3 linked regions of the Danio rerio genome follow. The protein of the gene in region 1 purifies or fractionates together with the protein of each later gene. This does not show direct contact. Links are inferred from orthologs where the notes say so. Each region holds a gene or a part of one and is shown in the gene's direction. Other genes may lie near its edges.

Region 1 (4,812 bases):
AACAAGAAGACTATAGGCATTAACATTAACATTTGCAATAGAAAAGAGGAGTTCACTTTGAGTGTACATTTATATTTATAATTCTGGTTGCTTTTTGAACATCCTTTAAGGGCTCTATCTGTCCATTTATATTTGTGTATGTAATTACCTAATTAAATGAAAAGGTTTTAAATAAAAATATTTCTTATTTTGAATAGTCTATTTATATAGACTAATATTTTATTTAACATATGTTCATAATTTAACATATTTAATCCCTCTATTAATCACATTATTTCTATTTCATAAGCTTTGCAATAACCAGATTCCTGATAAACGTTTGTGAATCTTATTTATTTATTTATTTTTTGTATGTTTGCGCGAGTGTTATTTTGGGTGTTTATACACGCACTGAGTTTAGACATTGGGGCTATATGCCAGTATAGGTGTGTTTGCATGCAGTGAGTTTGTGTATGTGCATGTGTTGTTGAGGGTGTATTTGCATAGACCGAGTTTATATGTATATGCGATTATGTATAGGTGTGTTTGCATGCTGCGAGTTTATATGTATGTGCATATAAATGTGGATATTTATGCGAGAATCGAGTTTATCTGTATATGCGAGTGTGTATAGGTGTGTTTGCATGCAGCAAGTTTATATGTATGTGCATGTGTTAATGTGAGTGTTTATGTGAGGATCGAGTTTATATGTATGTGCGTGTGTATGTGGGTGTATTCATGTGTCAAGTTTATATGTATATACACAAGTTTCATTCATGTTGTTTTGAACATCCAGTAGTATGGGTGTATATGCGAGTAATTTATAGGTGTATATACACGTGTTTTATGTATGTGTTGATAAGCAAAGTTTGATTTAAATCCTACACGGCACCTCATAAATAACCCTGAGCAAATACCTTACAACTCCATGTTACGTTACCCTGCATTACTTTGTGCCTCGCGCTCCCTATAAATGATCATTTTGTCCTATTTCTCACACATCTGTAAACACAATATCGACAAACTGATAGTAACAATTGAAAGGTGTTTGATAAAGGATGTCTCTCATCATAGACAATCATGATAGCCTTATTTAATACACTTTCTTTGTATATACTATTAATGCCCTTTTGTTTTATACCCAAGAACTTACTGGCTGTTGTTACCACCTTTCCCAGTGACCTCTTCTGGGCCTCAGAAGCATTTCCATACCAATAGATCACACAAAATGTTGCAATAATTTCAATAAAAACACTAGAAAATATGATCAACGATGTGTTGTCAACAATAAAAGACAATCGTTTCTTTAAGAAGTACATTCTCTGTTGCCTTTTCCTTATAGACTCAGTCCACTTACGTTTCCTGTCCAACAACACATCTAAATATATTTGGATGTAACTGCATTTAGGTGAATTGTATAAACTTAATTGGCTGCAGTGTATGAGTGTGTATGGATGTTTCCCAGTACTGGGTTGAAGCTGGGCATCTGCTGTAAAAAAAAAAAAAAAAACATATGCTGGATAAGTTGGCGGTTCATTCCGCTGTGGCAACCTCTCATGAATAAATGGACTAAGCTGAGAGAAAATTGATGAATTATTAGGTTTAATGTATATTATGTCAAACTTAAGGACACGTTCGTCATCGTGCTCAAAATTTATGTTTTTTCGCAACGAAAAATAAATAAATAACAGACATACTAATGCACAAAAATGTTACGTTACGTTAAAAAACTACTTTCTAGCCACATAAGTCAGTCTAATTAGTCATTAAACTACTCAAGGCAATTCATTAACTACCTCCAAACACCTCAGGCGTGCCTATCAACAGATTCCTACTTTGTGCACTTCAAGCCTCTTCAACAATAATAAAATAAGCATTATTATTAAAGATAAAATATGTTTTTAAATACCCAAATAAAAAAACAGTATGTCTAAACCACATGGATCCTTACACCAATTAGTCAAGTATAAACACGTTGAGCTAATTAAATGACACCCTTCACATGCCGTGCTTCAGCCAAGACTACAACAAGCTCAGGTAGGAATTAAACTGCGCTGCTATGTAATTAGGACGTTTTTAAAGCAAAATGTGTAATTGTGACGACCTCAACCGCTTACAAATAAATAAAACATAAATAAAACGAAATTCTAAGAGCTTAATTAACGTATTCTTAATATATATATATTTAACAACGCATTTGAAATGACGGCAGCATTAAATTGCGTTTTCTAAACAATCGTCATATGCGTTGCGTTTGTGTGGATTAGACAGGGCTCTGTCTCATGTGACTGATTATGGGAGGGTTTAAAGATGACTGGAAGCCATCTTACACACTCGCTTTACACCCCGAAATATGTCACAACTCTACACCTATAATTCACAAACACAAACACACTGAAAGATATTCTCTGCCACGTTTGGTAAGTTTGCAGAACGTCAAATCTACGTGTTGTGTTCTGGGGATTAAGTCGGTTTTGTGGGTTTCTTTGTGTCTTGGTGTTTACAAATTTGTGATGTCTTTTTGGCTCGCAGTGTTTGTGTTAGCTGATTTAGTTAAGAGTTAAATATGTTCTTGCTTCTGTTTTAGCGTTTATGAAACGAGCGTTTAGTTCTTTATACTGGTGATTGTGAATCTGAGGTTACGCGTGCGGCCTGTGTGCAAGCCAAAAGCTAACGAGCTTGAGCACTGCTAATATTTCCTTCCTAACAGCTTATATATTTAGATTTGCTTATAATAAAAGCCACATTCCATCGTATTATGATAACCGTGTTTGCTAAAGATTTAAAATGTATCCGACTATTAAAATCTGTCTGGCTTGAAGCCGTCAGCGGTAGCTGCGTAGCTAAACATTAGCATTAACGTTTGTTGCGTGACGCCGAGTTTCACGTTATGTGGAATCAATACGGTTAACCTTTAAGATGTACATTTTAGCTTAATAACTACAACGTGACACTGGTTATATCGTATAACATAACATTGTTTTTTAGTATTCGTGGAATGAGTTCAATGAACTATACGCTTTCGCTTAACTTAAGGTAACCAAACATTTGTTATGTCTAATTTTAAGCTCCACAGCTGTGTAGTCAACGTGCAACTTCACCTGTTTTTATAGATGCATAACAACACTGAAGTCACATTTATTAAAGTTTGTCATTTTTAAATGCTTTAGGTAAACGCGAGGCTGTTTTACAATGAGGCCTATCGTGTTGACATTGTGCCAGCTGCTGCTGCCATCATTATTGAACTCACATTAGACATTTAATAACGTTTATGGTCTGTTCATAGATCTGAAAATGAATTAAAGTTGTAATTGGTTACAAATTCAAGAGACTTTTTTATCTTGACACTTCTACCAGAGCTTGTCCCTGTAATTTCTGCATGAGTGTGTGTTAACTCTTTTGATGCTGTAATATTGCAGGTAATTGTAGAAGTATAAGTGTTAGTGCTAGTTTGTGGTAAAGATGCACAGAGCAATTAGCACACTTTTTGTTAAAAGAAAATTAAAATGATGGAACCTTTTATCAAACCCAACCTTAACCCTGATCTCATCTTGCATCACAAAGTTTCACATTAGACCTCATACGATGTCTTGCTTGGTCGACATTAGGCATGGGCTGGTATAAGATTCTGATGGTATGATAACCTCGGATAAAAATATCTCTGTTTTACGATATTGTGATTACTCCTTTTAAAATATATTCTAATTAAATGTCTGGGTAAAAAAACTAACTTTTTTTTTCTCCCCTTTCAACACAATTTATTTTATTTAGAGAAACATTTGATATATTTTGTAATGGTAAACATGTTAGGCTAAATAATTCAAATGAATCATTGGCTGCGTCCGAAACCGTATACTTCCATACTATATGGTATGCTAAAATCAGTATGCGAGTCGAGTAGTATGTCCAAATTCATAGAGTTCGAAAATCAGTTTGCGAGAAGTACCCGGATGACTTGCTACTTCCGGTGAGATTCCGGAGTGCGCATCCTATGCACGCTGCGCTGTCCCATAATGCCACGTGAGAGAATTCATAAATGGAAGTTAAGCAACGCAACTGATGCAGGTAGGTCACGTGACCATGACAAAATGGTGGATATAGTACGTCCGAATTCTGTCCATACTTTTCACATTCATACTGTATAGAACGTACGTTTGTAACTGCCGAGTAGTACATTTAAATTCAAAAGCAGTACCTACTGAGTAGTAGGCGGTTCGGACACAGCCTTTGACTAATGCTGTCTTCATTTGTTTAAAAAAACACAGATTTCCTTACAATTTAAAACAGCATCTTTGGATTTTTTTTTTGATTCCTTTCTGCTGGAAATACTGTTGTCCTAAAAAACCAACAACAACAAAAAACAAAACTTGGACATACCTTAGGAATGGTATAGTAGGAAACTTTTGCGGTTTTAAAACCTTGGCTTTTCCAAACCGTGGTATACCTTAAACTTATCGTCCCATGCCTCGTCGACATTGCTTGATCTAAGCACTCAATGACTAAGTTTACATTAGTAATTAAATTATTTGCCTTAATCTGAATAAGACAGTAATATGATTAAGGTGTTCGCATAAGTTGCAATTTGTATGTTCTTTTCATGATCCTGTTTTACATGTTGTAGCACAATTCAATTAACTTCATAGAATCGCCACGCTATTCACATTTCCTCTGGGATATCATGTAATTTCCGGTGTTTTAAATTTGTCGACTTTAACTGCAGTTTGGCACTTTCACTCAGGAACATTTCATGCATGCCTCCCCTGACAAATGAAATATTGGATGAGTATTTAATGCTGTAAGAGGGTCGTTTTATTGGAATTTGATAACGCACGC
Region 2 (4,712 bases), on another chromosome or scaffold:
AATGTGATCACGGTTTTTAATCATGCTTATTTGTCCTCCGTAATGGTAGCTGACTTTGTAATTTTTGCTACTTTACCATCTGGCTTATAAGTAAGGAATAAAGTACATTTTGGAGGCTATCATCACAGAATAACACCTGACAGGCTTATCTGAGCTTTAAAAAAACTGCCTGGAAGTACTTTATCCCACTTTATATATGCATTCTTGCCACAGAATGTAAAAATTAGACTCAAAACATTTGTTCTAGGCCATAATAGTTTCATTCTTTAAAGCAAAGCTGACAAACAAAACCAGCTGAATGGAGCTGATTGAGCATATACACTAACCTACAAATCTTTCAGTCACAGAGTCAAAACGTCTTGACGGATGAGGATATAAATATTCAAGTGAACTCATTCCCTGACTGTCAGGATGAATCAAAGTACCAGGAATAATATAATTTGAAAGATCGCTATCACCAAATTGAATCAAGTATTTCAGACAGCTGTGTAATTACGAATGTTAAAGAGCCCCTATTTTGCATTATAAAGGGTCATATTTTGGTTTTAGGGGTCTCCAACAACAAACTGACATGCATGCAAAGTCAAAAACACTTTCATTATCTTAAAATATGCATTTATTTTTACCTAATTATCCCAACGACTCCCATATGATTCGTTTCTCGATTCATTTGTTCCCAAACCCCTCCTTTGCATGATGCTAATCTGTGCTGATTTGTTCGATGACCCAGTCTGTTGTGATTGTTTGACTGGGTTCAGCGCGAGACGGTGTGAAACGCCCACCATGGCTAAGAAATAGAGTATGTGAGAGCCCAATGCAGGAATGCAACAAAGCAATGCGTTAAAAAACCAGCATATTACTCTACTCTTAACACTAACTTCAAATAATAACAGCGACACACATTCAGCATTAATCCACACAGTGACAAAAGCTGAACTATTTTGAAAATTGACCACGCTGCTAATGTGAGGAACAGATGATGGCGGCCTTAGCAAAGATGACAGCAGAGGATCGTGAGTTCAGAAGTGCATTTAAATCGGTAAAGGAAGAACCACACGTCATGTTTTCAACATGGGTTTGGTTGCAATATGTAAATAGCCTAACACGGATTTAACCTGAGAGATGCATAGAAGCACTGATCTATAATAGATAAGTAATTACAGGCCATGTGATGTTACAACACAACAAAAATACATATTTTGCAAACTACACAAAACGAGGCAACAATTTTAATTACACTTACATGTTACGATCCAAAGGAAGAAGAAACTGGTCCCATACATAATAAATATATTCGCCTACTCTGCTGCTCCTTCCTTTAATAACAAACGGCTGGTATTGCTAAGGAGGATATTGTATAAATAATTAGAAAAATGACAGGAACAAACACAACACTAGGTTGGCTATACAGTAGCATTGTAGTGAAAACCCTTTAATACCCGCAAGCGAATCTCCATCTGTCAGTGATTGTCATCTTCATGTCATGATCAGTCCTGTGGTCCCTTGAGCTCCACCAGTGTCTAAATGAAAAGGCAAGTTCACGTTTAACCGGACCCGGTACTACATTTTTGTTGATGTATTGTCGTCGATGTGTTCAGGCAAAAGATCTGAACTGAACACGATTAATTTATTCTTCTCTGAGTCGATTATTTCTTTAAAGAATCAATAGTTTTGAACGCTGGGCACTTTCAGATTTAAACCTCAGCTGGATGTTTTTATTCACTTGATGCTGTGTTACACAATGCATGGAAGCTCATTTTCAAAAACCCATAATATGGGCTCTTTAATGGATTGGTGAAGTTACAAATACAGAAATGAAGGGAATAAGAAAAAGGTGTTTTCTTTTTCAAATCTTGTTGACTGCTCGTCATATTTTATAAGTACAGACACATATTTTTCACCTGCACTAATAAAACTTTTTCAATCACTTCACATATCCAAATTTAGCGAACCACAGTCCTTTGTTAGTTTTTTTTTTTTTTTAGGTTTTAAAGTAATCTTCAATTTAATTTGATTAAATGCTTATTTTAGGTTTTAATATTAAAACAGGCCAAACATACTGTAGAAATACTGACTTTTTAAATTTGGTAAATATTGCTTTATCATTTTTTTTCCCCTAATTTAACACATTGCTAATTTTTTTTTCTTCTCTCCATGCAGTCTCTCGCTCCCCTAAGCCAGATGCTCCTCCTCAGGACCCTCTTCTGACTGGATCTTATTTGGACCCCTCATCCAAACCTGTTGGCCCCACTCCTCTGTTCCCTGTAGATGGTAAAATGTTGTCATAAATCTGATTTAAGACACTGTCCAGTTGTCGGTGCGTCTTAACTCCTTTTCATTTTCACCACAGTAAATGAGATCCTGTCCAAGGAAAGGATGGAGAGTCCAGTTAGTCCACAGGAGGGCAAGAGCAACAAAAGTAATGCTAGTATTGTGTTGCTATCTCCAATTTCATTGCATCCTCTTGATATTTAGCTAATGAATGTTCTTCTATTTATTGTAACAGTACCTTCGGTCCAGCAGAGATCACAAATCTCTGAGGAGCTTCGCAAGTTTGGTAATACTTTTAGGGTGAGTGTGCACGAATGTAATCTGCATCTAGGTTGTTTTCAATCACGTGGTTCTGGTGACTCGCGAAATTCAGATGGAGGGCAGGAAGGACAAAAACTGAGTGGGAGATGCAGGAAAGTCTTTTTGCGATTTTATTTATTTATTTTTATTTTTTTTGCGATGAAATTTCTACTAAACTAAAATATATTTAGCTATTACTTTGAACATACTATAGTGTTTGGAAGCATACTTTAGATTTTTACTTGAATTAAACTGTTGTAGTAATTATATTGTTGCTGTGGTACATCACAACTGTAGTAATAAACAAATTATTCAATAGGCTTCAGTTTGTATAATTATACACCATCACATTGCACCAGAGTTTACTCTAACGTTAAAGTATTTACTATAGTTTCAGTTTAAAATGCTACAGTATTCGGGAGAATTCATTAACAAAGAGTTGTGCACATTATACACTTTAATATGTGGTTTAAAAACATGTTCATTATAAATTACTATAGTTTTTTCCCCCCTGCTGATATCTTCGACATCACGTAATAACAGATGAAAGCATACAAAACTGTGGACGCATAGTCTACATTATTATTAGTTTATTTTTCCAAGAGAGGGGGGGTGCTTTTCAATAGTAACAGTCTAGTTTTGTCGCAAAGGTTATATTCTCCTGGATTTTGTAGCTTGGTGGTGTTTGTATGTGATTTTTATATAACACATTACCATCTAATACACATAGTTAGGCCTGTATATCATCTTTATTGGTGCTGTCAAATGAAATTATCTCGTTCAAAAAACTTTGTACACATAGATGTACTAAAAATTGTTTATTACATTGCCCCTTTTCTGTTTTTCAGCCAGTTTCTTCAACTTTTCCTCCCTTTACAAGCAAAAGCTTTTGGTAGTCCATAAAAGCTGTTCGGCATTTCTTATCTAGAGTTAAACAATAATAAACAACATAAAACGAACATTTTGATGTTCTGATAGAGATTCCTATGCAGAAGAATCACTTTCTGCCCACCATCTGAGTCTCACACGTCATCAGTGTCGTCATGTGAAAACAACTTGTATTACATTGATCAAGTGACCTACCTGTTGCATTCTTTCTTTACTACCTTTCACAAATCCTCCCCTGTTTTTTGCTATACTATTCTATAATATAGTAGTGTTTTAACAAATAGCATCTGATATAATGTGATAAAGTATTTTCAATATGTTTTTCAATGTATTTAAAGTATTTGGATAAGTGCTTAAATTTGACTTTGTAAAGAACCCTGATGTTAATGAGTCTGTGGACACACTCCATCTCCTCCTTAGCCTGATGGCATAGTAAAGTACCTGTTGTTAGCACACTTTAAAAACCTATACACTCAATATGAACAATGTTCAAACATGTTTGCATTGTAGTCGCTTTTGTTTGTATATAGGCGAGATTAGCTTGTTTCAGAATGTGAACTATGTTGCTAAGTCTGAGCGTTTTTCCTTATTTGTGAAATTTATTTTATTTTTTTAAATTATTAATATTTATTTTTTAGCTTCAGCAAAACCCCAAAACTTTGCCCACTGAATCTACTCAAGCAAACCCTGCCCACAACACACAGACTGACCCCGCCGCTCCCACAGAAGCAAAACCAGCCCCGCCCACAACCCCGAACACAGAGCTTTCAGCAGAGGAGCGAAGTAGAGAGACTAATCCAGAAGGGCCGGTGACCTCCACCCCTCCACCGGCCACATCCATCTCTGCACCGTCTGGGATTGGCATGCAAAATCCACCTGCAGAAGGGCAGACGGCGGGGGCGCCCCAACCTGCAAGGACCCCAGGCAGTGAGGATGGCAAACCAGAGGCCCCTGAGAGATCTGAGGGCATGACCGAGTGAGTAGAACATGTCAGACTGTTCAGCTTTTAATCAAGTACTTTTGTGACCAATACTAGTAATCTTATTTTTTATTATTTTTAATTTATTACATTTATTTATTTTAAAATTGTTTATATATTTTTTATATTTAACTCTTTTATTTATTAAATTTGTTTATTTTTTTACATTTATTTCTATTTAATTATATTTTACATATATTTCTGTTGCTTGTGTTATTTATTTAAAAAAATTTATTCATTTATATTTAATTTTATTTATTTTAAAAATGTATTT
Region 3 (4,812 bases), on another chromosome or scaffold:
TCCCGACTCTCTGTGGTTGTTAAAAATCCCAGGATGTCCTTCGAAAAAGAGTAGGGGTTTTTACCCTGGCATCCTGGTCAAATCTGCCCACTGGCCTCTGTCCATCATGGCCTCCTGACCATCCCCATGTCATAATTGGCTTCATCACTTATTCTCCTCTCGATTGTTGTGCGATCTGGCGCAATATGGCTGCCATCGCGTCATCCAGGTGGATGCAGCACACTGGTAGTGGATGAGGAGATTCCCCTTATGTGTAAACCGCTTTGAGTGCCCAGAAAATGTAAGGAATTATTATTATTATTTTAGATGTTATTACCAGTATGTTAGTTTTAACGAGATCTATATAAATAGTGTGCTCCAAAGCAGTGACAAAATTTGCGTTTGTAAGATATAAACATCTAAAGCTTGTAGTTGTCACTGATATAAACATCTAAAGCTTGTAGTTGTCACTTCAATCCAAATGGGACAATAATTTATTTCATGTCACCTCACACTTTAGTTTCTCATCAAAGCTGCTAAAATAAAAATTGGTGTTTTAAATTGAGAAAGTGGGCTATATGCACAGCTAGTATTTTTCAGCCAATTATGACCTTCGGTGGAAGCTTTATGTGGCTATTATCAATTTCATGAGATGACTTTTACAGCATCAATGTTGTAATGTAAATCAAATATAATCAGTTAACTTGACCTAATACGCATCCAGTTGGTTGTTAAAACGTAAAAAGAGACAAAAAACGTTTAAACGCAGGCGTCGTCAGCCACAGGCCAGCGCAGAAATTCCATTGAAAATACTGGGGTACAATTAATTTCCATATTTTATAGACATGGCTAGCAAAATATAATTTAATGCAGTGCTTCTTGTTAGGTCTGACACCCACTTTTTTTTATTATTATATCTTAACCGCTGCGATTTTGTAAGGGATGACAATTCGCCGGAAGCCCTGAGGCTGGATGACTGGAAATAAACATCCGACTGAATACACCCCATTCACTCAACGTTATGACGCGCATGCGCTACTCGCTCAGTTGAGTATGGCTGACCCTATGGTGATTGCTAAAAGGGATACAGCTGCGATCAGAAGTTAACGAGAATTATTTATAATATTTATTAAATTGTCAATTCATTGTATTTTTTATCAACGTTTACTCCTACCACAACCAAAAACACATCACAGAAATGTAAAAACAGTAATTAAACCGAGTATTATTCATAGTAAGTTATTAATTAGATGACCATGGCAATTAAAATCTTTTTTATTAACGTCTAGCCCTACTACAACCCTCACTATAATGCAAAAGTATTAATAATTATTCTTAAGCATTGTGAATTGAATAAACTAAATTGGCCGTGGAGTATGAGCGTGAATGCAAGTGTGTGTGTGCTTCCCAGGTTGCATCCGCTGCGTAAAACATGTGCTGGATGAGTTGGCGATTCATTCCGCTGTGGCGACCCCTGGTTAATAAAGGCACTAAGCCGAAAAAAAAGAATAAATGTTAAGCAATGTGAATATCCGCAGCTGTATCCCCTCTAGACTTTACCCCGGAAGTAATTGGTTGGCATTAGCAACGTTTCGGCCGAGCCAGGCCTGAATACAGAGATAGCAGGAGAAAGAGAAACAAACAGACAGGTTTGAAAAGCTTCATACACTCATTTTGTCATAAGCTGAGTGCTAGTCTGAATGTGTCGCGATGCTTTGTTTACACTCAGATTTCTCGTAGAGTCCGCGTCAGATTCCCACTATGAACATAATGCTAACCGACTAGCTGCCAGCAAGTCATAAACAATAACAAACACTGAGTTACTCAGTTACCTTGATTCAGATAAACCCTGTGCTTGGGGACACACAGAAGCAGGAGTGTGTGTTTGTGTACACTATCGACAGCTCAGACATGTTACTGATGGGTTTAAGTCATTGATGCTGCTGATCTGATCATATCTAACTTACTGACGTTAATACACTCTTCTCACAGTATCTTATAACATTCCTATTCATTAGGGTGAAGTTGGTCCTATATTTGCACATTCAGACTTTCTCCTTAATAATATGACTTCAGAAAAGTATTCTCCGTTCATTCTACATGAGGATATCATAGTAGCAGCCTGTGACTATCAAAGTACAACATGTACACAGTCAGATAAATAGTGCTAATGTAGTTTTGAAGCCATACTTACACGCGATTTCAGATTGAGGTAATGTTGGTTTTATATATTCACACATTTCGACTTTCTCTTTAATATTATTATTTCAGAAAACTATTGTTTGCAAAGTCCAAACTGGGAAATCCTGTTATCATCGGTGTTGAGGTTAATGCGTTACAAGCAGTGGTGTAAAGAGTACTGAAAAATCATTTTTACTTGCCTAAAAGTGTAGTGCAAGCAGAGTAAAAGTATCTAAAGTAAATATTACTCAAAGTATGAGTAAAAAGTAGAGCTTTCAAAAGTACTCAAGCGTAGTGAGTATTACGCTGTGAAAAGCTGATGTGTTTGCATGTAATTTGTGTGTAAACGTAACATTCTGTAGTGCATTTAGTTATTGCCCAGCAGGCACACAACGTCATAAGACGTTAATATTAGGTAAGGTTTAGGTTGTGATGTCAGGTGACCAAAATTTAATGTCTATCCAGCATCTTTTGTTACTTTGATATCCAATATCGACGCTGATATGTTGAAATTTGGTTGATTCTGCGTTGTGCTAGAAAGTGACCAAAATCTAACGTCGAGCCAACATCTTAAACCAACGTCATATTGATGTCAAATACTGATATTTATATGTCAGGTATGGCAACCAAAATCCAACATCTGATAGACGTCATAGTGGTAACGTCCACATAAGATGTAACATTAGGTATTTGGTTGATTTTAGGTTGTACATTGATGTCGGCCTGACGTTGGGTTCTGACGTCAACCTGATTTTCATTTCCAAACAAAATGCAATGTCCCCCATCGTTGGGGTACATTGTCAATCTAACGTCATATTGACGTCCTGTGTCTGCTGGGTGTTTAAGGCCTTTTTGGTCATCATACCGTAAACATCCATCAGCATGCATCTAAACAGTCTCTGGGTCAATGTGTGTGAAGATTTTGCACATCTTCTTGGACACTTTTAATGCTTGCAAACAGTTTGCTGCAATTATAAGTCCCCCATGTCTTGAGGTTGATTATTATATGTGATTTACCTTCTATGTGTGATTTGATTGGACAGGAATCACAGGACGGATGTGTCCAATCCCCATAGACAAGCATAAAGTGGTGACTGCAGGTTGAAGGAAAGTAGTGGAGTAAAAGTACAGATACAGCACTAAACATGTACTCAAGGCAAAGTAAAAGTACTCATCTTTAAAACTACTTAGTAAATTACAATTCCTGAGAAGAACTACTCAATTACAGTAGTTAGAGTATTTGTAATTTTGTTATTTTACACCACTGACTACAAGAACATGAGTTACGTGATAATATTATATATATATATATATATATATATATATATATATATATATATATATATATATATATATATATATTTTTTTTTTTTTTTTTTATTTACTATATATAATATACACAATTATATTATTACTTTTCTAAGTAACGAGTAAAGTAACACATTACTTTTAAATATACAGTTGAAGTCAGATTTATTAGCCCCCCTTTAATTTAAATTGATATTTTTTTTAAATACTTCCCAAATGATGTTTAACAGAGCAAGGAAATTCTCACAGTATGTCTGATAATATTTTTTCTTCTGGATAAAGTCTTATTTGTTTTATTTCGGCTAGAATAAATGCGGTTCTTAATTTTTTAAACACCATTTTAAGGTCAAAATTATTAGCCCCTTCAAGCTATATTTTTTTCGACTGTCTACAGAACAAACCATCGTTATACAATAACTTGCCTAGTTACCCTAATTAACCTAGTTAAGCCTTTTACTGTCACTTTAGGCTGTATTGAAGAGTCTTGAAAAATATCTAGTCAAATATTATTTACTGTCATCATGACAAAGATAATATAAATTAGTTATTAGAAATGAGTTATTAAAACTATTATGTTTAGAAATGTGTTGGTAAACTCTTCTCTGCGTTAAACAGAAACTGTGGGAAAAATAAACAAGGGGGCTAATAATTCTGACTCTTACTGTAAGTAAAAATATTTGAGTTACATTTTAAAACACAATGCGAGTTACTTTTTAGTTCAGTTTTATATATATAAATAAATAAATTGCTGAATTAAAATTAACATAGTCACGTTGAATCACGCTGTCACCAACAGAAAGCTGGAATGGGCAGAAAAGAAGATGGCAGAGCCTTACATTTCTGTGATGGAAAAACTCTCATTATTCTGAACACATGGAAGAAAATGAAAAGAGCATGATCTGAATGGACAATGATTTGATGACAAATGATTTGACTTTTTAATAAGAAAAAAAGTACAAAAGTTGCAAATGCATCACTTTAAACAGACATTACTCTGTATATGCGGCATGTAGAGCTCTGGGGTCAGGAAGTTCTCAGATAACATTATCCTGCATACATGTTTTATGTGTTTTTTTTAAGGTAAATGATGGTTATACAGTGTGTTGTCAATTGCAGAGCTTCTCTATTTTAAATAAAAAGAGAAAAAAACTGCAAGTTCTGAAAGAGATCAAGCCTCAGAAAAAAAAAGTGACGCAAAAGTAACGTAACGCATTACTTACCATGAAAAGTAACTAAGTAACGCAGCTAATTACTTTTTTGGGGAGTAACTCAGTATTGTAATGCGTCACTTTCCCCAACACTGGTTATCATATATTGGTGTACAGTCAGTAAATAGTGCTATCG

Evidence for each region.
Region 2: the proteins of ddx6 (region 1) and atxn2l purify together in Homo sapiens (affinity purification with mass spectrometry; 6 studies listed by BioGRID and IntAct, with this or other methods). This does not show direct contact. The link is inferred for Danio rerio from reciprocal best matches to the Homo sapiens genes DDX6 and ATXN2L.
Region 3: the proteins of ddx6 (region 1) and mcrip1 purify together in Homo sapiens (affinity purification with mass spectrometry; 3 studies listed by BioGRID and IntAct, with this or other methods). This does not show direct contact. The link is inferred for Danio rerio from reciprocal best matches to the Homo sapiens genes DDX6 and MCRIP1.

What each region holds. Positions count from the first base shown.
Region 1 is NC_133193.1:46,839,435-46,844,246, reverse strand, and holds the start of ddx6 (probable ATP-dependent RNA helicase DDX6), read left to right. Parts: upstream 1-1,975; 5' UTR 1,976-2,016; intron 2,017-2,311; exon of another isoform or gene 2,312-2,399; intron 2,400-4,812.
Region 2 is NC_133178.1:14,060,274-14,064,985, forward strand, and holds part of atxn2l (ataxin-2-like protein), read left to right. Parts: intron 1-2,160; coding exon 2,161-2,271; intron 2,272-2,350; coding exon 2,351-2,419; intron 2,420-2,506; coding exon 2,507-2,571; intron 2,572-4,097; coding exon 4,098-4,435; intron 4,436-4,712. UniProt on the Homo sapiens protein: Involved in the regulation of stress granule and P-body formation.
Region 3 is NC_133178.1:64,678,260-64,683,071, forward strand, and holds the start of mcrip1 (mapk-regulated corepressor-interacting protein 1), read left to right. Parts: upstream 1-1,530; 5' UTR 1,531-1,628; intron 1,629-2,173; exon of another isoform or gene 2,174-2,325; intron 2,326-4,812. UniProt on the Homo sapiens protein: The phosphorylation status of MCRIP1 functions as a molecular switch to regulate epithelial-mesenchymal transition. Unphosphorylated MCRIP1 binds to and inhibits the transcriptional corepressor CTBP(s).